4 linked regions of the Saccharomyces cerevisiae S288C genome follow. The gene in region 1 interacts genetically with each later gene. Each region holds a gene or a part of one and is shown on either strand. Other genes may lie near its edges.

Region 1 (5,079 bases):
TTATATGATATGTAACTTCTCACTATTATCCTTACTATTAAACGGTTTTTAATAAATATCATTGTTCTTTGTTTTATTAATGAGAAAAAGAAATTTAATACAATGTCCGGCGGGAAGAAAAAAAATCGATGAATTAATTGAAAAAAAGTATCTTTATCATGTGAACTGAGGAGAAGAACGGCATCTCGAAAAGAGCACGTCGAAACAGCGGTAGGTAAAAGAGGGTACTACCAGAGGTCTTTTCTCTTTATACGTTAACCTCTCAGCTTTTTCTTTTGCAATTCAGGACACTTTAACTTGTAGTCACACGCTAGTCCACGTAGCAAAGTAAAACAGCACGAAAAAAGTGATTACAAATTTCAAGGGAGATATGATGGACTTAGATAAGATTATAGCATCACTGAGAGACGGAAAACATATTCCTGAAGAAACCGTTTTTAGGCTATGTTTAAATTCACAGGAACTATTAATGAATGAAGGCAATGTAACACAAGTCGATACACCGGTTACAATATGCGGTGATATACATGGCCAATTACACGATCTACTAACGCTCTTCGAAAAGAGTGGTGGTGTAGAGAAAACAAGGTATATTTTCTTGGGCGATTTTGTGGATAGGGGATTTTACTCATTGGAGAGTTTTTTACTTTTACTATGTTACAAATTAAGATATCCTGATAGGATTACTTTAATTAGAGGCAATCACGAAACCCGGCAAATTACTAAAGTATACGGATTTTACGATGAAGTAGTAAGAAAATATGGTAATAGTAACGTATGGAGGTACTGCTGTGAAGTTTTTGATTATTTATCATTGGGGGCAATAATAAACAATAGCATATTCTGTGTTCATGGTGGATTATCTCCGGATATGACCACGGTTGATGAAATACGAACAATAGACAGGAAACAAGAAGTTCCACATGAAGGTGCTATGTGTGACTTATTATGGAGCGACCCCGAAGACGTTGACACATGGTCATTATCACCAAGAGGTGCTGGATTTCTTTTCGGTAAAAGAGAAGTTGATCAATTCTTAGAGAAAAACAACGTTGAGTTAATTGCTAGAGCTCATCAGTTAGTGATGGAAGGTTACAAAGAAATGTTCGACGGTGGATTAGTGACAGTCTGGTCGGCACCGAATTACTGTTATCGTTGTGGTAATGTAGCAGCTGTATTGAAGATAGACGACGATTTGAATCGTGAATATACAATTTTTGAAGCTGTTCAGGCACAAAATGAAGTCGGAAATGCTATAATTCCAACCAAAAAATCTCAAATGGACTATTTCTTATAAATTTTTAACAGGCACTCTAATTGTCAAGTGCATTTTTCTTTTTTTCTTCATAATGCAATAAAGGAAAAAAAATTGTAATATTACATACTTCTTTTCACATCTTAGCTAATTAACAATATGGCTTTTGAATACTAATATATACCCAGCTACCGTTTCTTCTTTTATTTTTTATTCCTTTTTTTCTTCAGTAGAATATGTTATAGATGCGGAGGTCCCCTAAGTTCTTCACGTGTTCTCTTCTCATCGCGTTTGATATGAAAAATAGAAAAAAATACATAGTAGCATGACTAACTAATAATAAGCTCCGCTATCAAAGATGTCAAGTACATTAAGGAAAGCTTTTAGATAAGGAAAAGAACTTATTAATAATATATAATATGAAAATATGTCGCTTGGTATACCACTTTCCCAATTAATAGTAGAAAGTCCAAAGCCATTAAGTAGCGGCATCACAGGATTAGATGAGATATTAAACCTGGGATTCCAGGCAAGGTCGATCTACGAAATATTTGGGCCTCCGGGCATTGGCAAGACTAATTTTGGCATTCAATTGGTGTGTAATTCGTTAGAAGGCATACAACAATCGGAAATAAACGACGATAAAATTCTATGGATAGAAACATTTCAAGAAATGCCCATAAACATACTAAGAGAACGCTTTCAAAAATTTAAAATCGTGGAAGAAAATGTGAAGCGGGTCCGAATAACGAAATTTGGACAGCTATTATATTTCTTCCAGAATTTGTTCAAATTATCTCAAAGTGTGCGATATAAACTAGTTATAATTGATGGATTTTCTCAATTAGTCTGCGATCATCTGTGTACACTAAGTAAAAGAGGCGGCGGAATGATAGATAAAACTATACACGAGTTAAAATGTCGACATTTGATATTAATTTTTACGGTAATGACCAAATACACACATTCCACGGGTTCGACAATAATAGTTTTAAATGACTGTATGAACACCGCCTTCCAATCAAACGAATTCGAATCCTTGGAAGAATACTACGAAATTTTAGACGACGGATCTAACTTCTTTGTCAACTCTAACAACGAAAGGCGTAAGAACAATGTACATATATTGAAAAGCGCGCTCGTTGCCAATATCGCTATGGGAAGCAAGGATTCCACTTGGGAAGTATTTCTAAGAGACAGGATCGGCCTTTTTAGGGATTGGAATGAACAAGTGGACGAAACCGTTTTCGTGAAAAGCAAAAGAGTGAAGGCGTCATCCTCGCAGAGTAACGAGGGATGTACTACCATCAAAGAAATGAGAATAAACAAACGAAACTTTGAAAACTTGAGAATAGCTATTGTTTTTAATTTACACGGCGAAGATAGAAAAAGAGAAGGACGAAATTTAAAGCGGTCAAGAAGCAGCGACGATCGTAACTATATTGTCAAATTTGATTTTGATAAAGCAACAGGTCAACTCCGCGATATAATTGATCTGAAACCTGATACTGCTAATATTGCCTCATTTCCAACATTATCAACAAGCAGCAGCAGTTGCTCACAAGTGTTTAACAATATTGACTCCAATGATAATCCATTACCAAATGCGGAGGGAAAGGAGGAGATAATTTATGATAGTGAAGGTTAATAGTAAAATAAAAAAACCGAAAACCGAAAACAATAAAAAATGGAAAAACGACAACATTCCACCCAACAACTACAAAGAAAAGTTAAGGGTAATTTTACCTATTTAGGATTTTAATCTGTTGGAGTTAAGGTGAATACGTTTTTCCATATTGGGGTATGCAGCTCGAACCTAAAGTGGTATGTACACATCCCCTCAAGCACACCCATTACCCTTATAGGATTAATGTAAGCAACAGCTTACACGGAATTGGAAATACTATTCAACGATCCATGCATCTGCCAGATTCGGACATGCATATTCCCCAATTGGATATAGAAAATTAACGTAAGGCAGTATCTTTTCACAATGTACTTGCAACGCGGCGACTTAAAGTTGAAGTACAACCTGCAGCAGCGGCTTTTTGTACGGTACGCCAAACTGTCAATGGATAATATTGCGTAGACCGAAAAAGGTAATCCTCAACACTACCCGTGGTGGATGACCTAAAGCAGTAATATTGGTTGGAATTATCTCCCAGACGGCACCGTCTCCCCGAGAAAGCTTAGCCCCGAGGTCTACCTTCCATACACCACTGATTGCTCCACGTCATGCGGCCTTCTTTCGAGGACAAAAAGGCATATATCGCTAAAATTAGCCATCAGAACCGTTATTGTTATTATATTTTCATTACGAAAGAGGAGAGGGCCCAGCGCGCCAGAGCACACACGGTCATTGATTACTTTATTTGGCTAAAGATCCATCCCTTCTCGATGTCATCTCTTTCCATTCTTGTGTATTTTTGATTGAAAATGATTTTTTGTCCACTAATTTCTAAAAATAAGACAAAAAGCCTTTAAGCAGTTTTTCATCCATTTTACTACGGTAAAATGAATTAGTACGGTATGGCTCCCAGTCGCATTATTTTTAGATTGGCCGTAGGGGCTGGGGTAGAACTAGAGTAAGGAACATTGCTCTGCCCTCTTTTGAACTGTCATATAAATACCTGACCTATTTTATTCTCCATTATCGTATTATCTCACCTCTCTTTTTCTATTCTCTTGTAATTATTGATTTATAGTCGTAACTACAAAGACAAGCAAAATAAAATACGTTCGCTCTATTAAGATGAAATTATCAACTGTCCTATTATCTGCCGGTTTAGCCTCGACTACTTTGGCCCAATTTTCCAACAGTACATCTGCTTCTTCCACCGATGTCACTTCCTCCTCTTCCATCTCCACTTCCTCTGGCTCAGTAACTATCACATCTTCTGAAGCTCCAGAATCCGACAACGGTACCAGCACAGCTGCACCAACTGAAACCTCAACAGAGGCTCCAACCACTGCTATCCCAACTAACGGTACCTCTACTGAAGCTCCAACCACTGCTATCCCAACTAACGGTACCTCTACTGAAGCTCCAACTGATACTACTACTGAAGCTCCAACCACCGCTCTTCCAACTAACGGTACTTCTACTGAAGCTCCAACTGATACTACTACTGAAGCTCCAACCACCGGTCTTCCAACCAACGGTACCACTTCAGCTTTCCCACCAACTACATCTTTGCCACCAAGCAACACTACCACCACTCCTCCTTACAACCCATCTACTGACTACACCACTGACTACACTGTAGTCACTGAATATACTACTTACTGTCCAGAACCAACCACTTTCACCACAAACGGTAAGACTTACACCGTCACTGAACCAACCACATTGACTATCACTGACTGTCCATGCACCATTGAAAAGCCAACAACCACATCAACCACCGAATACACTGTAGTCACTGAGTACACTACTTACTGTCCAGAACCAACCACTTTCACCACAAACGGTAAGACTTACACCGTCACTGAACCAACCACTTTGACTATCACTGACTGTCCATGTACTATTGAAAAGAGCGAAGCCCCTGAGTCTTCTGTCCCAGTTACCGAATCTAAGGGCACTACCACCAAAGAAACAGGTGTTACTACCAAACAAACCACAGCCAACCCAAGTCTAACCGTCTCCACAGTCGTCCCAGTTTCATCCTCTGCTTCTTCTCATTCCGTTGTCATCAACAGTAACGGTGCTAACGTCGTCGTTCCAGGTGCTTTAGGTTTGGCTGGTGTTGCTATGTTATTCTTATAAACGGTGGTGTTTGACACATCCGCCTTCTTAATGCTTTCTTTCAGTATTATGTTAT
Region 2 (9,455 bases), on another chromosome or scaffold:
CAGAATGACAACGACGGTCTTGGGCGTAATGGATTGAGGCCAGGATTGATAAACTACTATTCTAAATACTTCCAGATCGATTTGACGCAGTTCAAAAAGAGATTGTCCGCGGTACTGACGTTTAGAAACGATCATAATTCCGAAAGTAACGAAGATAACACTGATTTATACGGTGCTGTATGGATCACTGCCACGGTGGTAATGATCAATTTTACCATGAGTAGGGGGTTAAATTTTATTATCAGTGACGTAATTGAGGGCGTCAAGACTGGTGAGGACATCGACAGGGCCAGTCAGTTTAAGAAGCTACTGCATTCTATTTGGCTATTTTACGGGTACACGTTCGGCGTACCATTTATTACCATGCAAGTATTGAATAGAGATGAGCACTCGGAGCGCAATAGAAGCTTCAAAAGTGTTCCTGAATTGATTTCCGTTTACGGGTACGCTAACTTGATCTGGATACCCGTTTGTGTTATATTGAATATATTGGATATGTCCAAGCGCCTGAGGACTGTTCAAGCAATTCAATGGGCAATTGTGGCTCTTGGGTGGGCACAGTCGTCTTATTTCTTGAATTCTCAAATATCGAGTAATAATAATACGGAGACACAATCGAACGGGAAATTTTCGCTGTCCATCATCGTTGTCGTTGCGCTGCATACTTTATTCTGTCTATTGTTCAGGTTTATAATATTTTGAAAATATGCGCACGTCTATACACACAATACTTTTTATGACTAGTATCATTGTATACTCTTATTATGTAGGGTTATACATGAGTGTTTATACGTTTTCTGTGTGTACATATATATCCATATATGTTAATGCTAAATGCAAGTTTTGTGATGCTATTCATTAGAGATGCCTTTGTCTAAAAATCAATGCTTTTATAGTCATCATAGGTTATGTCGTAAATGGTTTTATCCTTAAATTTTAAGGAGATTTTGGATGAAATGTTTATGTCAGCTCTGGTAAAGCCTTTTGAAAAAGTACATTTATCATTTTTTGGGAAATTAGTGGAAGAAGAAGAATGCTTTTTCTTAATGCATGGTAAACAAGGTGTGAGCAAAACCAACTTATCAATATGCTTAATCAACTTGCGTGAGCCTGTACCCTCAATGACATCATCCGGTATGGCAATATTCCGCAACAGCGTGCCTCGATATAGCCGAATATCGTCAGGAGTCAAGACGTACCGCAACTTGTTCGAGATCATTGGCATTATAGTATCGTCTTGAAGCAAAATCTCAATTTTCGCATTACATTTTATTTTTTTCAAACGACATTTGTCACAACTTGGGCCACTTCTTTGTCTCTTGGAAATTGAACTAGTAGATGTGGCAGAGGAGGTTGTCGAGTTGCTCGTTGAGCGCGAAATTATAGACATTTGAGTGCATGACGCATTAGCGTCTTCATTGACCATGGAAGCAAGAGCATGAGGATGATACTCAAACAATGGTGGAGTGTAATTTTGTGGAGGGGGAACAATCGCACTTACGGGGAGCGTTGGCGGCGGCGTCACCGTGGCAATACCAATAGCGCACTCATTACTGTCAGCGGCAGCAGGCTTTAATCTCTTATAGCCTCCTAAAAGCTCGTCAGTCGGAAAAGCCCGCTTCCTCGTCCAAGTGGTCGACAAGAGTTCTGGATCGGTGATGCCCACATTTTGGGTGCCTTTACGCCGTATATCTTTTTCTAGCAGGGAAACATTGGGGAGCAATAGCGGTGGTAGCGATCGATCTCTATTTCTTACTGTAATGCTTGTGGACATCTTCTTTTGACATACGATGACCTCAATGATTTAGATTATGTGTTGCACTTTTATAGACCTACCAAAAATCCAGTGCGTACACTAATACTTTCATAAAGATACCTGAAACAATAACCAGAAAGATCGGCAAAAAAATTTTTTTTCTTTGCCGAGATCACAAACCTACTATGACGAAAAAGCTTGAAGTTTAGATGAGTAAGGAAAATACAAGTGACGCTTTTATATGGTGCAAGGAACAAAAACTAAAAACAACAAGGCAAATGTGGATCTGTCATGTATGGCAACGACAGCAGGATGGCTCACAAAAAAAGACAAAAAAAACTAAGGCAAAAGAACAAAGCTCCTCTCCTGCTCAAGAAACGTATTGTTGAAAAACCACCGTCGTAAGAAAGTTTTTCTGTGACCTATAATGGTTTAAAATCGGCCCATTTTTTTTCCCTCTTTTGTGGTCCAGTCTTTCTCATACTCGAGGGAAATTCGACACAAACAGCGGAGAAGTGTGGCTAAACCGGCAAGTGCCTGCAAGATCCACAGAACTAACCGCACGAACTGGCGGTCAGAAAAGAGCCTGTTCCGGAAAGAGAGAAACAGAGAAACGATCATGATGGGAAAGCGGGGATTCGGCGAAGAACGAGACTGGAAAGGGAAAAAGAGAAATACTGGTGGAAGTATTCGGACCTTTGGCGAAGTCCGAACCCTTGAAACCCAAAGATGATCGATGATTCATTTTTCAATGCGCTACGGTTCCTGCCGCTCGTGGGAACCCCACGCAAAACATATTATTCGCTTCTCTCTGCTGACAACTCCGGTTTACGTTATACCGTATTAGGATCACTATAAGGGTTCCTTCGGGAGGAGGGGGGAGGGGAAGAATGTACATCGTCATAAGGCCTTTATGGTGTGAAGTGGGTTTTGCGTGGAAAATTCGTTTTCAATGATATAGAGCCCACGCATATACGTACATACTAGTGGCCAAAAGCGTGGGGTGGGCGGACAAAGCTACACTGGTAAAATACAGGATTCTATGAACAATAACAACAACCAGCTCACGTTGCTGAACAGCCGAGGTCAGCCGATGCAACCGAGGTTTCCAAAGTAGCATTTCTGTGCTAGCTATGTCTGTAGGTTTACATTTAATGGTGCGTGGTTCCAGCTTCATGTGCTTGCATGTGATGTCCTGCAGATGGTAAGAAGATTCTGAAAGCCGCGCTAGGAGAAAAATATTCTGCTCGAAGATCTGTCCTCTTAAGTAGAAAGCGTGAAATTGTTGCGTTCTTGCATTACTACTCAACGCGTACGCAAATGCGTCTACTGCACCTGCATGATAAAGCTTATGTATCAAAAATTTAACATCTTGAAAATACACAAGTGGTGCAAAGATGTGTCACGTTCTGGACCTGAGTGGTGCCATGTATGCTATTTAACATGCAAAGGGGAAGACCCTTCCGCCTTACTGCAATAATAAAAAGTATTTTACGCGTTACCCAATATAGCAAAGTTTCGCGCAAAAAAAAAAATAAAAAACAATTACAAACAAAAAGAAAAAAAAGGAAATAATAGAAGATCTAACTGAAGCGAAGGCCAAAACTCTTCTCACTTGACGTAATAGCCGATACAAAATCTAGAGCAGCAACTTTTCTCTTTCTTCACTAAAGCTGCTACGAAAGTATAGAAAAATCAAACGCTCAGAACTTAGCTCTATTTCAAGGTACCATATATATTTCCTTATAACTGATGGCAAGACGCAGATTACCAGACAGACCACCAAATGGAATAGGAGCCGGTGAACGGCCGAGACTGGTACCTAGGCCTATTAACGTACAAGACTCGGTGAACCGACTAACGAAACCGTTCAGGGTCCCGTACAAGAACACGCACATCCCGCCCGCTGCTGGTAGAATCGCCACCGGGTCTGATAATATCGTAGGAGGAAGGAGCTTGAGGAAAAGATCAGCGACTGTATGTTATTCCGGCTTGGATATAAATGCGGACGAAGCAGAGTACAACAGCCAAGACATAAGTTTTTCTCAGTTGACTAAACGACGGAAGGATGCTCTTAGTGCTCAAAGGTTGGCCAAGGATCCGACAAGACTGAGTCATATCCAGTACACTTTGAGAAGATCTTTCACTGTGCCAATCAAGGGATATGTACAAAGACACAGTCTGCCATTAACGTTAGGAATGAAAAAAAAAATTACTCCAGAACCTCGACCTCTACATGACCCTACAGACGAATTTGCCATAGTGCTTTATGACCCGTCCGTTGACGGTGAAATGATTGTCCATGACACATCTATGGATAACAAGGAAGAAGAATCAAAGAAAATGATCAAAAGCACACAGGAAAAGGATAATATTAACAAGGAAAAGAATAGCCAGGAAGAAAGACCCACACAAAGAATAGGACGCCATCCAGCTTTGATGACAAATGGTGTGAGAAACAAACCGTTACGTGAGCTACTCGGTGATTCGGAAAACTCTGCGGAAAACAAGAAGAAATTTGCTAGTGTCCCTGTGGTTATTGATCCAAAACTGGCCAAGATTTTAAGACCCCATCAAGTCGAAGGGGTGAGATTCTTATACCGTTGTGTCACAGGGCTTGTCATGAAAGATTACTTAGAAGCTGAGGCGTTCAACACTTCAAGCGAAGATCCCTTAAAGAGCGACGAGAAGGCACTTACTGAATCTCAAAAGACTGAACAAAACAATAGAGGGGCCTACGGCTGCATCATGGCCGATGAAATGGGGCTGGGTAAGACATTGCAGTGTATAGCACTTATGTGGACATTATTAAGACAGGGCCCGCAGGGTAAAAGACTTATCGACAAATGTATCATTGTTTGTCCATCTTCTTTAGTCAACAACTGGGCTAATGAATTGATAAAATGGTTGGGTCCCAATACTCTAACTCCGTTAGCGGTTGATGGGAAAAAATCTTCAATGGGTGGTGGTAATACAACAGTTTCGCAAGCTATTCATGCCTGGGCTCAGGCACAGGGAAGAAATATTGTTAAGCCCGTTTTAATCATATCGTATGAAACATTACGTCGAAATGTTGATCAATTGAAAAACTGCAATGTGGGTTTAATGCTGGCAGATGAAGGGCACCGTTTGAAAAACGGTGACTCTTTAACATTCACAGCTTTGGATAGCATCAGTTGTCCTAGAAGAGTTATATTATCTGGTACACCCATTCAAAACGATCTTTCCGAATATTTTGCTCTACTGAGTTTTTCGAATCCTGGCTTATTAGGTTCCAGAGCAGAATTTAGGAAAAATTTTGAGAATCCAATTTTGCGAGGGCGTGATGCTGATGCTACTGATAAAGAAATCACAAAGGGCGAGGCGCAATTACAGAAGCTATCTACCATTGTCTCCAAATTTATTATCCGTCGTACTAACGATATTTTGGCCAAATATTTGCCTTGCAAGTATGAGCACGTTATTTTCGTAAACTTGAAGCCGTTGCAGAACGAGCTCTACAATAAATTAATTAAGTCAAGAGAAGTGAAAAAAGTAGTAAAAGGTGTTGGTGGGTCTCAGCCCCTGAGGGCTATTGGTATTTTAAAGAAGCTATGTAATCACCCTAATCTCTTGAATTTTGAAGATGAATTTGACGATGAAGATGATTTGGAACTACCTGACGATTATAATATGCCGGGTTCAAAAGCCAGGGACGTACAAACAAAATATTCAGCTAAATTTTCCATTTTGGAAAGATTTCTCCATAAGATAAAGACCGAATCCGATGATAAGATTGTTTTGATCTCCAACTATACCCAAACCTTGGACCTCATTGAAAAAATGTGTAGATATAAGCACTACAGTGCTGTACGGTTGGATGGTACAATGTCAATTAACAAAAGACAAAAATTGGTGGATAGGTTCAACGATCCTGAAGGCCAAGAGTTCATCTTCCTCTTAAGTTCTAAAGCAGGTGGGTGTGGTATCAATTTGATTGGTGCAAATCGATTAATTTTGATGGATCCGGATTGGAATCCTGCTGCTGATCAACAAGCTTTGGCACGTGTTTGGAGAGACGGTCAAAAAAAGGATTGTTTCATTTACAGATTCATATCGACTGGTACCATAGAGGAAAAAATCTTTCAAAGACAATCTATGAAAATGAGTTTGAGTTCATGCGTGGTCGATGCGAAAGAAGACGTTGAAAGGTTGTTTAGTTCTGACAATTTAAGACAGTTGTTTCAAAAAAATGAGAATACGATATGTGAAACACACGAAACATACCATTGTAAACGTTGTAATGCTCAGGGTAAACAATTAAAGAGAGCCCCTGCAATGTTATATGGTGATGCGACAACTTGGAATCATTTGAACCATGACGCATTGGAAAAAACAAATGATCATCTACTAAAAAACGAGCATCATTACAATGATATCAGTTTTGCATTTCAATATATTTCACATTGATCTCTTACATACATGTACTTATAAAACAAAAACAAAAAGTAGAATTCGATCGTCGGGGGGTCATTACATATTTATTTTAAATGATGGGCATGGTTATATATATTTAGACGTAATAAACAATTGAAAATTGGGGCCAAATTGGTAAATATCTCTATGTATTTCAATCAAAAAAGTATAATCGTATAACTTAAGGGTAAAAAAAGTTGAGCGATGTCATATTATACTTGTGCTAGCTTTTAAATTTTTCATTATCTTCAGTTTTATCGTGGTAAAGTGCCAGCCGAAACTGCCAAAAAAGATTATGGCAAGAAAATCTCACGCTGTCAGGGAAATAAAAATCTGATACAGTTTCACACTCTCAGAAGGATTAACTTTAACTATTACCTAACACCAATATCTGAAGAGAATGGATGAAATTCTTGCCAAAGCAGGTTCACAAGCCGTTACATTTGCTATAAAATCCGGAATATCGATAGCATCCACATATGCGCTAAAGACAATAACGAACTTTGTCGTCCAGATTCCTAAGGATGATGCTAGAAGAATAGATCAACTGAAATTTAAACTGGAAAGCCGCATGGCTATTGTATCCAGTGCAATTGACCTAATAAAGCTGGTAGCGGCGAGGGGAAACACGAATTTGCAAATCACTCTGAGGTTAACCAAGGATTTAAAAGAAGAGATTGATAGGTTTGATGAGAAGATCAACGAAATGACGCAGAAAGTTGAGGGTTCCAGGAGCGCAAAAACACAGAATGAAGCTATTAAAGCGGTAGAAAACTATATAAAGGACTTGCTATTGAGGATCGAAGAAATCACTCCATTCATTAATCTTTCTTTAACCACTTCTGGTGCCAACTTGAACAGCGCACTCCCATATCAACTTTCTCCTGGTTTATTATTAAAAGCCTCCGATTTCGTTAGCGAGAACAATAGAAAGTATGAAAAGGCAATGAAGAGTAATGAGAAAGGAACAGGTGACAAGGAGATTCTAAAAGTTCAAGTGGGGCCTACATTTGAGGTTACACTATTCTCTATTTTCTATAACCTAACTTCAGAAAACAATGGGCAATCAGGAATTGTTTGGAAAGAGGATATGAAACGTGCAAAAGCAAGGATATATAGATTGAACTCTACAGGCAGAAAGTATGATTATTTTATGAAAATAGAACAAGACTTCAATGACGGTAGATATCATGAGGATGATGACAAAGAAGACACACCACAGGAACTTGCCATAGATCTGAACCATATTAAGAAGCTGTTTTTCAGTGTTTCCGGTAAGCTTCTCCGATTAGAAGAACAGGATTCTCCAGTGTTGGTATTGAAGATTGACCGGAGCGATGACAAAGAAAATGAGAGCAGTGAAGGAGACAAGGGATTACTCGATGACATTACTTGGTATGCGGTAAGCGGATATGAAGCGATAGAGGAAGATGAAGAGGAAGATGAAGAGGAGGACGAAGAGGAAGGAAAAGACGGAGAAGAACGAAAGGAAGAAGAAGAAGAAGAAAATAAATTGGAGGACAAGGATTCGTCGATCACACTACTGGAGTACATCATTCGGCTGACGTCCTTACAAAGTAACGATCAGAAAAGTATATTGGAAGTGAGTGATGAAAGGTTATCTATATATTTGAACGATGAAAATACGAACTCCAGAAAGGATAGAATAAGCAATTCGACAATTGAAGAGACAGAAAAAAAGTTAAAAAACCTAAAACTTTAGGATGGTTACGTATCCTGTGCAGCCTTGGACAAATTTTATAATTGTATATATCTATGTATATGTATACGAATGGAAAAATTTATCCGAATCTCGGCCCGACTGCCAGCTTGCCGGGAGAACAAACAACCGCCAATATATGTATATGTATATTTATATAGATGTCCAGATGCATTATTGTGAATGTGAGTTATGCGAAGATACTTGTTTGTATAGCTCGTTCAACTCATTGATGGAGAATGGAATGTCAATATCGTTTAGTGCTGTGTTCGTAGTTGTATATGCGCTTCCTGTTTCATTGATACTAACAGGTTCCATAGATATACTAGGGCTTTGCTCAAGCGGATCGAGGGAAGCCAAATCAAGATTGTCAATGCTGTCGGCCTTAATTTCTCCGTTTTGCAGAGGTGGCTTCAAACTCGGCAATGTGGTTGTCATGTCTACATCCGACGAGCGACCATTTAGGCCCAAAAGAACGTCCAGATCTGCAATACCGAGACCATTGACATGCGCTGCTTCATCATTTGCCCTTCTGTGGCATGACCCTCCCTTTGATTTCCGGCTGCTTTTCCTCTTGGTATGACATTTACAAGGTTCACCCTCATCACAACGACATCGTGTTTCATCTTCCTTGCTGCCAACAGCTGGCCGTCGTGCAGAGGCACACATGCACCCACCGGATGGGTTGAAGTTCTTGGTTCTTCTCAGCTCTTTACAATGGCCACATGTGGTCGATGGTCTTCCCTTGCGTCTGATCATCTGTAGCGGACCATCAGTGTGAGTACACTGCGCCGCCCTGTGACCCCTGATACACGTTTCACAGGCATATTTGACCCCGTTAATTACGACCATTCTGTGAATACACTGATTATCAGTCCTCTTTTATCAAGCCGCCGTCTAATAAATTACATCGCCATGGCTACTGCTATTTCGTCCACAGCTTAATACTTACCGAACCAGGCCTTGCGGCTCTTACCCTGCGTGCCCGCGCACCCTGGCGACTTCGCCTCGTTTTGGCGATTTTCTTAGCAAATATTCTTTCACGATCGTAGTGGTGGAAGGTGGGTGAAAAGAGTTGCGTTCCTAGCAAGGATCGGTTGGTATCAATTGCACGTTCAGCTCATCCCTAGATAACCACTTAACAGCAAAGCCGATCGTTAAACTTTTGTATTCTACATTCTAGTTGCATTTTTTTTTTTTTTCATTTTGTTACATCAAGACAAGATTCTCTATTTAAAGAAGTACTTTTTTTGTTAACAGTGTGGACCCTACCTATCGTTATATCGAGATCTTGTTCCCTAGGCCATCGTACACTATAGCCCTTCCTTCAAGCACTTAATAGAAAAACCTCTTTTTCTACACCATCATAATAGTGTTTGCTCGCCCCGTTCTTTCCATTCCCATTTATAACAATACTAGTAACTATAATAATATCCTTACGACTGGGCAAGACAAGACGAAGCAAGGCCAGCACAGACGTAAGCTTAAGTGTAAGTAAAAGATAAGATAATTATGAGTGACAAT
Region 3 (4,209 bases), on another chromosome or scaffold:
TAATAAGTTGAAAAAAAAAAACACATCAGCAGAAATGTGTACATACAAAACTTACTCTATCTTCCCTCTGTAGTTTGGAAAAGTATTTAAAGGTAACCAATCTCTCTACTAATCATGCTTTTAACCTCTCTTTTACAGGTTTTTGCCTGCTGTCTAGTTTTACCAGCTCAAGTTACTGCGTTCTATTATTATACTTCTGGTGCTGAACGTAAGTGCTTCCACAAGGAATTGTCTAAAGGTACTTTGTTCCAAGCAACTTACAAGGCACAAATTTACGATGACCAATTACAAAATTACAGAGACGCTGGTGCGCAAGATTTTGGTGTCTTGATTGATATTGAGGAAACTTTTGATGATAACCACCTGGTTGTTCATCAGAAAGGTTCAGCAAGTGGTGATTTAACTTTCCTTGCGTCTGATTCGGGTGAACATAAAATCTGTATTCAGCCCGAAGCTGGTGGCTGGTTGATTAAGGCTAAAACGAAGATTGACGTTGAATTCCAAGTGGGCTCTGATGAAAAGTTAGATTCTAAGGGTAAAGCCACTATTGACATTCTACATGCCAAGGTTAACGTCCTAAACTCCAAGATCGGCGAAATTAGAAGAGAGCAAAAATTGATGAGAGATCGTGAAGCTACCTTTAGAGACGCCTCTGAAGCTGTTAATTCTCGTGCTATGTGGTGGATTGTCATTCAATTAATTGTTCTCGCTGTTACTTGTGGCTGGCAAATGAAACACCTGGGCAAATTTTTTGTTAAGCAAAAAATTTTATGATCAGACTAAAAACCTTTTATGTATCTTCTAGAAATTTATAGTTTATAAGAGCCGCTAAAGGTATTCCTTCTTTTTGAGAAAGTGGAAAAAAAATGACTAAATAATATCATCTTGGAATGGTATTTTACACAAACTTACGTATTGAGTTGGGCTATACGGTAATTATGTCACGGCTAAAATTTTCATTATCAAAAGGTATATAGGGACTTGAAAGCCTCAACTTTATTTTCATCAACCAAGCCATTTCCTAGCTGCTTAGACACCACGGGAACATTGAAATCAAACTCTTCCGCCTTTTCCTCTGAAAAGTCGTTATCAATTGAGGCGCTGATATGTTTACCTTCATTATCGTTTTCTTGTGAAAGATTGGACCGTGATTTCTTTTGAACACTATTAAAAACAAAGCCTTTCGATGAACTTTTTTGAGGAGTAACCGAAAGATCTGGTTGGACGGGAGTAGAATCGCCCTTTGTAAGTTCGGTTTTTGGCTTTCCAACTAACGGCTTCGCCTGTAGGTTGGTAAAATTGAATTCCTTTGATGATGCAGATGGTGCGTTCTCGCTCTTATAAGCATTCTCAGTAGGTTCAACGTTTCTTGAAGTATTAAACGAGAAGTTAAAAGCAGAGGATGGAGGTTTATCTCCACCATCCTTCTTTTCAGGTGAGGTTTCAGCTACGACGACATTTGAGCGTAAGGATGAGGACCTTGCAGGTTTGTATTTAGTAAAAGAATCTTTGCTTGGCGCAGATGGTGAAATTTTGGTGGCGTTCAGTTGTTTCATTGGTTCTTCGCCTTGTTCAGGAACGTTTTGAAATAATGGCTTAACAGTAGTTTCTTCTTCACTGATCTCTTGCCTTGGTGCAGCATTTGGAGAAACTCTCTTATGTTTGCGTATTTGGCTTACATATGAGGAGTATGGATTAGCAAGTTCTGAAGCTGCATTATTCTTCTTACTGTCATTTTCATCTAATAGTGAGACCAATGCCGCAGCTGTATTACTTATTTTCTTACTAGGAGCTGACTTTGAAACACCACTTCTTACCGATTTAGCAGATGCTATACTTTGAGCAGATGTGTTGGCTGTGTATGTATCGGGGATCTTTTTCGCTGCACTATATCTATAAACGGTTGTTTTGTATGGTGAGGGCAGGCTAGAATAATTGAAACTGTATTTTCTTGAACCAATGCTTCCCAAAGTCGTATTCATTGACGCATTTGAAGTATCATATTTTGGGTTGAAGGTCGGCGCATTAGATATGCTGATTGGTGTACTTCCTGACTCCTTCAAGATAAGCGACTGGTCGATATTATTACCTTCGGCTGATTTTTGTTCTCCTTCCGAAGTTATCATGGATTTGCTTGATTTTTGTAACAATGACATCACACCCTCTATTTCAATTTCTGATAAAGGCTCATTACCTTTTTTACTAAAAAAGTTTGCAAGCTTTGCATTGGAGATGTTAGTTTCATGTGTTTCATCATACTCCTCTTCTTTATTCTCAATGTCGTTTCTGGCTTCACCCACTGCAGAAACAACTACGGAACGGTTTACAGTAGAATCTGGGGATATCTCAGAATGGAAATAACCTCCAGGCATACTTGAGATTCTTCTGTTAAAAGACTCATTGCGTGGTTGTTTATTAGCAACATTATTCCTTGGACTCACTCTGGCTGAATCTTTTTGGGTAAAGAAAGTTTTAATTTTAGAGAAAAGGCTTGGTTTATTGTGTGCATTGCTAATAATCTGCTTTCGATAGGGAGCGGAAGGCACAGTAGCGCTAGCCCTCCTCAATGATTTACGATGCATTGGATGTCGATTTTAGGATATCTTGCGGTGCTTATTTGATGTAAAGGTCTGTTATTTGATGTTTAAAAGTACACATTACAATAAGCTTTCACTTGTAAATATATCTTTTATTTTCCGAGAGGAAAAAGTTTCAAAAAAAAAAAAAAAAAAAGAAGAAAAATAACTTTCTCATGTAATAAAAGGTAACTAATGTAGACAAAAAAGTATACATTTAGCTTTTCTTTTTTTGATGATTTTTGAGTTTCATGTTACTAATCAGAACAATTAACGACACCTTCATTATGAAAAAATTAATTAGCTATAAGTCTTCGAAGTAGAACATGATATTTGGCAATCACTCGAATAACTATCTTAATTTACCTGCTGAAATAATTTGAAAAAACACCCGAGGCAGCAGACGAAAGGTGTTTTTGCTAAACAATGATTGATTTCTGGCGCCATTTCTACATTCTGAACAGTTCATCTCATTTCAGTAACAGTACTTCAATGGAATATTTATTAAAGAAAGTGCTTAAAAAAGTATTATAAAACGATACATGGACTGACTCAAGATTGAGCTAATAAGGTCCACCGCCTAGTGCTTAAGAGTTCTGTACCACTATAATAATTTATCTTGATCGTATTATGTGTAAAAAAAAGGCGCTTGAAATGAAAGCTCCGAAAATTAAAATACTTTGACTGCTTCGGAAAACAAAAACATATAAATAAATTTAAAAAATAAACTGTAAAATATTTAAAAACTATTAAAAATATTTTATATTTTTAAAATTATTTATTATTATGTCATGTGACAAGACTTAAATCATTACATAAAAGGTTTTGAAGTTCAATGTCAAAGTCAATATAATAAGCATACTAAGGCACACTTATGCAAATCGAGTTATTGAAGCTGGTAAAATTATAAGATTTTTATTTTTATTTCTTTTATTTCTGCAAATCTGCATTTTCAAATACCGCTTGGTTTTTTGCATCATAAAGGGCGGCGCTTTCAGTCGCGAAAGTGAAATAAACAACCAGTCACACATATAACTTTCTTCTTGCCATAAGAGAGAAGAGGACGTTTGGTTGAAGCCAACTAGCCACAAGAAAAATGGTACTGACGATTTATCCTGACGAACTCGTACAAATAGTGTCTGATAAAATTGCTTCAAATAAGGGAAGTATGTTCATGTCTCATTCTCCTTTTCGGCTCCGTTTAGGTGATAAACGTACTATATTGTGAAAGATTATTTACTAACGACACATTGAAGAAATCACTTTGAATCAGCTGTGGGATATATCTGGTAAATATTTTGATTTGTCTGATAAAAAAGTTAAACAGTTCGTGCTTTCATGCGTGATATTGAAAAAGGACATTGAGGTGTATTGTGATGGTGCTATAACAACTAAAAATGTGACTGATATTATAGGCGACGCTAATCATTCATACTCGGTTGGGATTACTGAGGACAGCCTATGGACATTATTAACGGGATACACAAAAAAGGAGTCAACTATTGGAAATTCTGCATTTGAACTACTTCTCGAAGTTGCCAAATCAGGAGAAAAAGGGATCAATACTATGGATTTGGCGCAGGTAACTGGGCAAGATCCTAGAAGTGTGACTGGACGTATCAAGAAAATAAAC
Region 4 (3,539 bases), on another chromosome or scaffold:
ATATATCGTTTATATAAGTACTGTTTCCTCGCATTAAGCGGGAAAGCCATGTATCTCTTGTAATTAGTTTGATCCTGTTCTATACCCAAATGTACTCCTCAAAATTATTACATTTTATTATGCCTTTTTCTTAGATGGGCTTTCACTCCACTTTACGAAAAACTGAGAAAAAAAGAGTAGGAGAAAAACTAGAAAAGGGGAATCACACACACACACACACACACACACACACACACACACACACGTCTAATATCGGCGCATATTTATCAAATCTAAAAGGCAAAGAATCTTAATACATAAAATCCCAGACGGTTATGATGGAATTCAAAGTGTCACCATTGACAAAGATTATTTCTCTGTCAGGATTCCTCGCATTGGGATTCCTTTTGGTCATACTAAGCTGCGCATTATTCCATAATTACTACCCACTATTCGATATTTTGATCTTTTTGCTTGCCCCAATACCAAACACAATTTTCAATGCAGGAAATAAATATCACACATCTGACTTCATGTCCGATTCATCAAACACTGGCCAAGATCTGGCTCACTTCCTTACAGGAATGCTGGTGACAAGCGGTATAGCACTCCCTGTTGTTTTCTATCATTGCCAATTGATTGGCCATTTGAGTTGTATCATGTGCATGATCGGTGGTCTTATCATATATTCTAGTATTGTTATTTTTAAATGGTTTTTCAAAAAAGATTTCAACGAAGATGATTCCCTTTTTGGTTAATATATAACAATTACTCATCCCCTCAACAGACTAAGCCAACTGGGTGCGTGAACCGTACATTGATATTATATAGTATGATACTCTACTCAAGGTGGGAAATCTGGCGTCGATTTCTCCTTTTTTTTAGAACTACTTAAATATAATAGATTACATAAAATTACTTTCTGTCTTTCTTCCATTTCAAGTTTTCAAACAAAAAATGCCAAGAAATTCGTGTCTTTAGCCTCTAGTTGACAGAATAATGTAGATAGGCAAAGTTGGCTGAATACATCCGTAATTTCGGGATAAGGATTGGCATTGAATCGCCACATGTCTATAATCTTATTTGAATCGATCTATGAGCGGAAACGTTGAGCAATGGTCGTACAACCATTCTGTGCCGCAATATACCTCATGAAAAGAGATGGGATTGCAAACCTTGAGAAATTAGTCTCTAGTAGGATAATGTATTGTACATTTGTTTGATTCCGCAGTTTTTATAGTGGCTTGAGATTTGTATTTCAACTAGATATGTTGAAAATATCCTCGTAGCGAATGTGGACATAGTGATAACAACAATGTCTTTGTCTTCTACACAAAGGTAAAGGTGTATAAAGCTTTACACACAATAAAGACGACACATAACAAATTATGCAACTGCGCTGCTATTGTAGGATAGCGTCCGATATTATCAATTCTTGCTTTTCAGCTTCTATTATATCTGATGACTAGTTCTCAATCTTTACGTCATCTTCCTATGGCATATTTTGTAATGTGCTAGTGACATGAATACTACTATGGATTATAGTAGGATTTCATTCTAACACAGCTCAGTGTGCAAGTTGTTTTTAATTTTACAATATGAATCTTTATTAAGTCTAAAATATTCATAAAAGTTAAGCGCCGTGGCGCAGTGGAAGCGCGCAGGGCTCATAACCCTGATGTCCTCGGATCGAAACCGAGCGGCGCTAAGCTTAATTTTTATATTTTTATCGTTTCACCTTATGAAAATTCTCGATCAGTATGCCTCAATATAGAACACTTCATTAATGGAAGTACCTTAATAAGGTTATACTAACGAATAGGTCTATTTTCCACTACGGTGTAACTTTCCGACGGAAGTAGTAAACGCGTATGAGTTAAACACGCGAAACTCTTAATTTTGAAAAGTACGCAGAAGTTCGTTACATCGCAATCAGATCAGCTCGAAATAATATTTCACATTAACTAACAACCAGAAATAGGCTTTAGTTAACTCAATCGGTAATTAATGGATCAAAAGGCGTCATATTTTATCAATGAGAAGCTCTTCACTGAGGTAAAGCCCGTCCTTTTTACGGATCTAATTCACCACTTGAAGATCGGCCCATCCATGGCCAAGAAATTAATGTTTGACTATTACAAACAGACCACCAATGCCAAATACAACTGCGTAGTGATATGCTGCTACAAAGATCAAACTATTAAAATTATTCATGATCTTTCCAACATTCCACAGCAAGATTCAATAATTGATTGTTTCATCTATGCCTTCAATCCCATGGACAGCTTCATACCATATTACGACATTATCGATCAAAAGGATTGTTTAACCATTAAAAATTCATACGAACTTAAAGTTTCTGAATCATCGAAAATTATAGAGAGGACTAAGACGTTAGAAGAGAAATCTAAACCTTTGGTAAGGCCTACAGCAAGATCAAAGACCACGCCAGAAGAAACAACCGGAAGGAAATCCAAATCTAAAGACATGGGTCTCAGGTCTACTGCACTGCTGGCTAAGATGAAAAAGGATAGAGATGACAAGGAAACCTCTAGACAAAATGAGTTACGTAAAAGGAAAGAGGAGAACTTGCAAAAAATAAATAAACAGAACCCTGAAAGAGAAGCTCAAATGAAAGAGTTAAATAATCTTTTTGTCGAAGATGACTTAGATACAGAGGAAGTAAATGGAGGGTCCAAGCCCAACTCACCTAAAGAAACTGACAGCAACGATAAGGACAAAAACAACGATGATTTAGAAGACTTGTTGGAAACGACAGCAGAAGATTCACTTATGGATGTACCTAAAATACAGCAAACAAAGCCTTCTGAAACAGAACATTCAAAGGAACCTAAATCTGAAGAAGAGCCCTCCTCTTTTATTGATGAGGATGGATATATTGTGACAAAGAGACCCGCAACTTCAACACCACCACGCAAGCCATCACCCGTGGTAAAAAGGGCATTGTCGTCTTCAAAAAAGCAAGAAACGCCGTCATCGAATAAAAGGTTAAAAAAGCAAGGAACATTGGAAAGCTTTTTCAAAAGAAAGGCAAAATAATCTTCTTTTTTTTCCAAACACTTTCCATTACTAATTGTGATGTAATGTATAATACAAATGTCAACTTACGTGATAGAAAAATAGATCAATATAAATATATATTGTTGTTTAAATTTACTTATTTTCGTCATATATCCTAATATACCATCCGAAGGACATTACTATACTGATTTACATGAACGCTTGACATAATTTGAAATTTAGTTTCTTTCTTAAATTTTTCAAAAGTGTTGCCATGCTACTAGGTAAGCTTTTATCTGCTTCAATAATGGTTTCATATAAGTTTGAACTTTTTTCATCAGCGTCATCCCATTTAGTTTCTATAACTTCAATGACTGTCGCCACTGAATCTTCATCCATTAGCTTCTTATCATCTAAAAGGAAAATTGGGTACAGGAATTTCGCCACAAGCAAAACCAAGTAATGTTTTGGTAAATAAGGGAATTCAATCAGCAAAAGCAATAGGCGCAGCGCTTGGCCCCAATCTTCTCTGTCCCTCA

Evidence for each region.
Region 2: mutations in RAD55 (region 1) and RAD54 together harm fitness less than expected from each alone (positive genetic interaction), as found in Saccharomyces cerevisiae (6 studies listed by BioGRID, with this or other methods).
Region 3: mutations in RAD55 (region 1) and NUP60 together harm fitness more than expected from each alone (negative genetic interaction), as found in Saccharomyces cerevisiae (7 studies listed by BioGRID, with this or other methods).
Region 4: mutations in RAD55 (region 1) and POL32 impair growth when combined (synthetic growth defect), as found in Saccharomyces cerevisiae (6 studies listed by BioGRID, with this or other methods).

What each region holds. Positions count from the first base shown.
Region 1 is NC_001136.10:596,786-601,864, forward strand, and holds RAD55 (putative DNA-dependent ATPase RAD55), read left to right. Parts: upstream 1-1,682; coding exon 1,683-2,903; downstream 2,904-5,079. Other genes in the region: phosphoprotein phosphatase PP4 catalytic subunit PPH3, read left to right, coding at 371-1,297; SED1 (Sed1p), read left to right, coding at 4,008-5,024. UniProt on the Saccharomyces cerevisiae protein: Required for radiation resistance and meiotic viability and presumably acts in recombination and recombinational DNA repair pathways.
Region 2 is NC_001139.9:190,457-199,911, reverse strand, and holds RAD54 (DNA-dependent ATPase RAD54), read left to right. Parts: upstream 1-3,508; coding exon 3,509-6,205; downstream 6,206-9,455. Other genes in the region: YIP5 (Yip5p), read left to right, coding at 1-702; SUT1 (Sut1p), read right to left, coding at 875-1,774; YRB30 (Yrb30p), read left to right, coding at 6,612-7,934; CUP2 (Cup2p), read right to left, coding at 8,106-8,783; Ca(2+)/Mn(2+)-transporting P-type ATPase PMR1, read left to right, coding at 9,444-9,455. UniProt on the Saccharomyces cerevisiae protein: Plays an essential role in homologous recombination (HR) which is a major pathway for repairing DNA double-strand breaks (DSBs), single-stranded DNA (ssDNA) gaps, and stalled or collapsed replication forks.
Region 3 is NC_001133.9:150,630-154,838, reverse strand, and holds NUP60 (FG-nucleoporin NUP60), read right to left. Parts: upstream 2,583-4,209; coding exon 963-2,582; downstream 1-962. Other genes in the region: ERP1 (Erp1p), read left to right, coding at 115-774; transcription factor TFIIIC subunit TFC3, read left to right, coding at 3,673-3,742, 3,833-4,209. UniProt on the Saccharomyces cerevisiae protein: Functions as a component of the nuclear pore complex (NPC).
Region 4 is NC_001142.9:515,961-519,499, reverse strand, and holds POL32 (DNA polymerase delta subunit POL32), read left to right. Parts: upstream 1-1,986; coding exon 1,987-3,039; downstream 3,040-3,539. Other genes in the region: VPS55 (Vps55p), read left to right, coding at 315-737; NUP85 (Nup85p), read right to left, coding at 3,211-3,539. UniProt on the Saccharomyces cerevisiae protein: DNA polymerase delta (DNA polymerase III) participates in chromosomal DNA replication.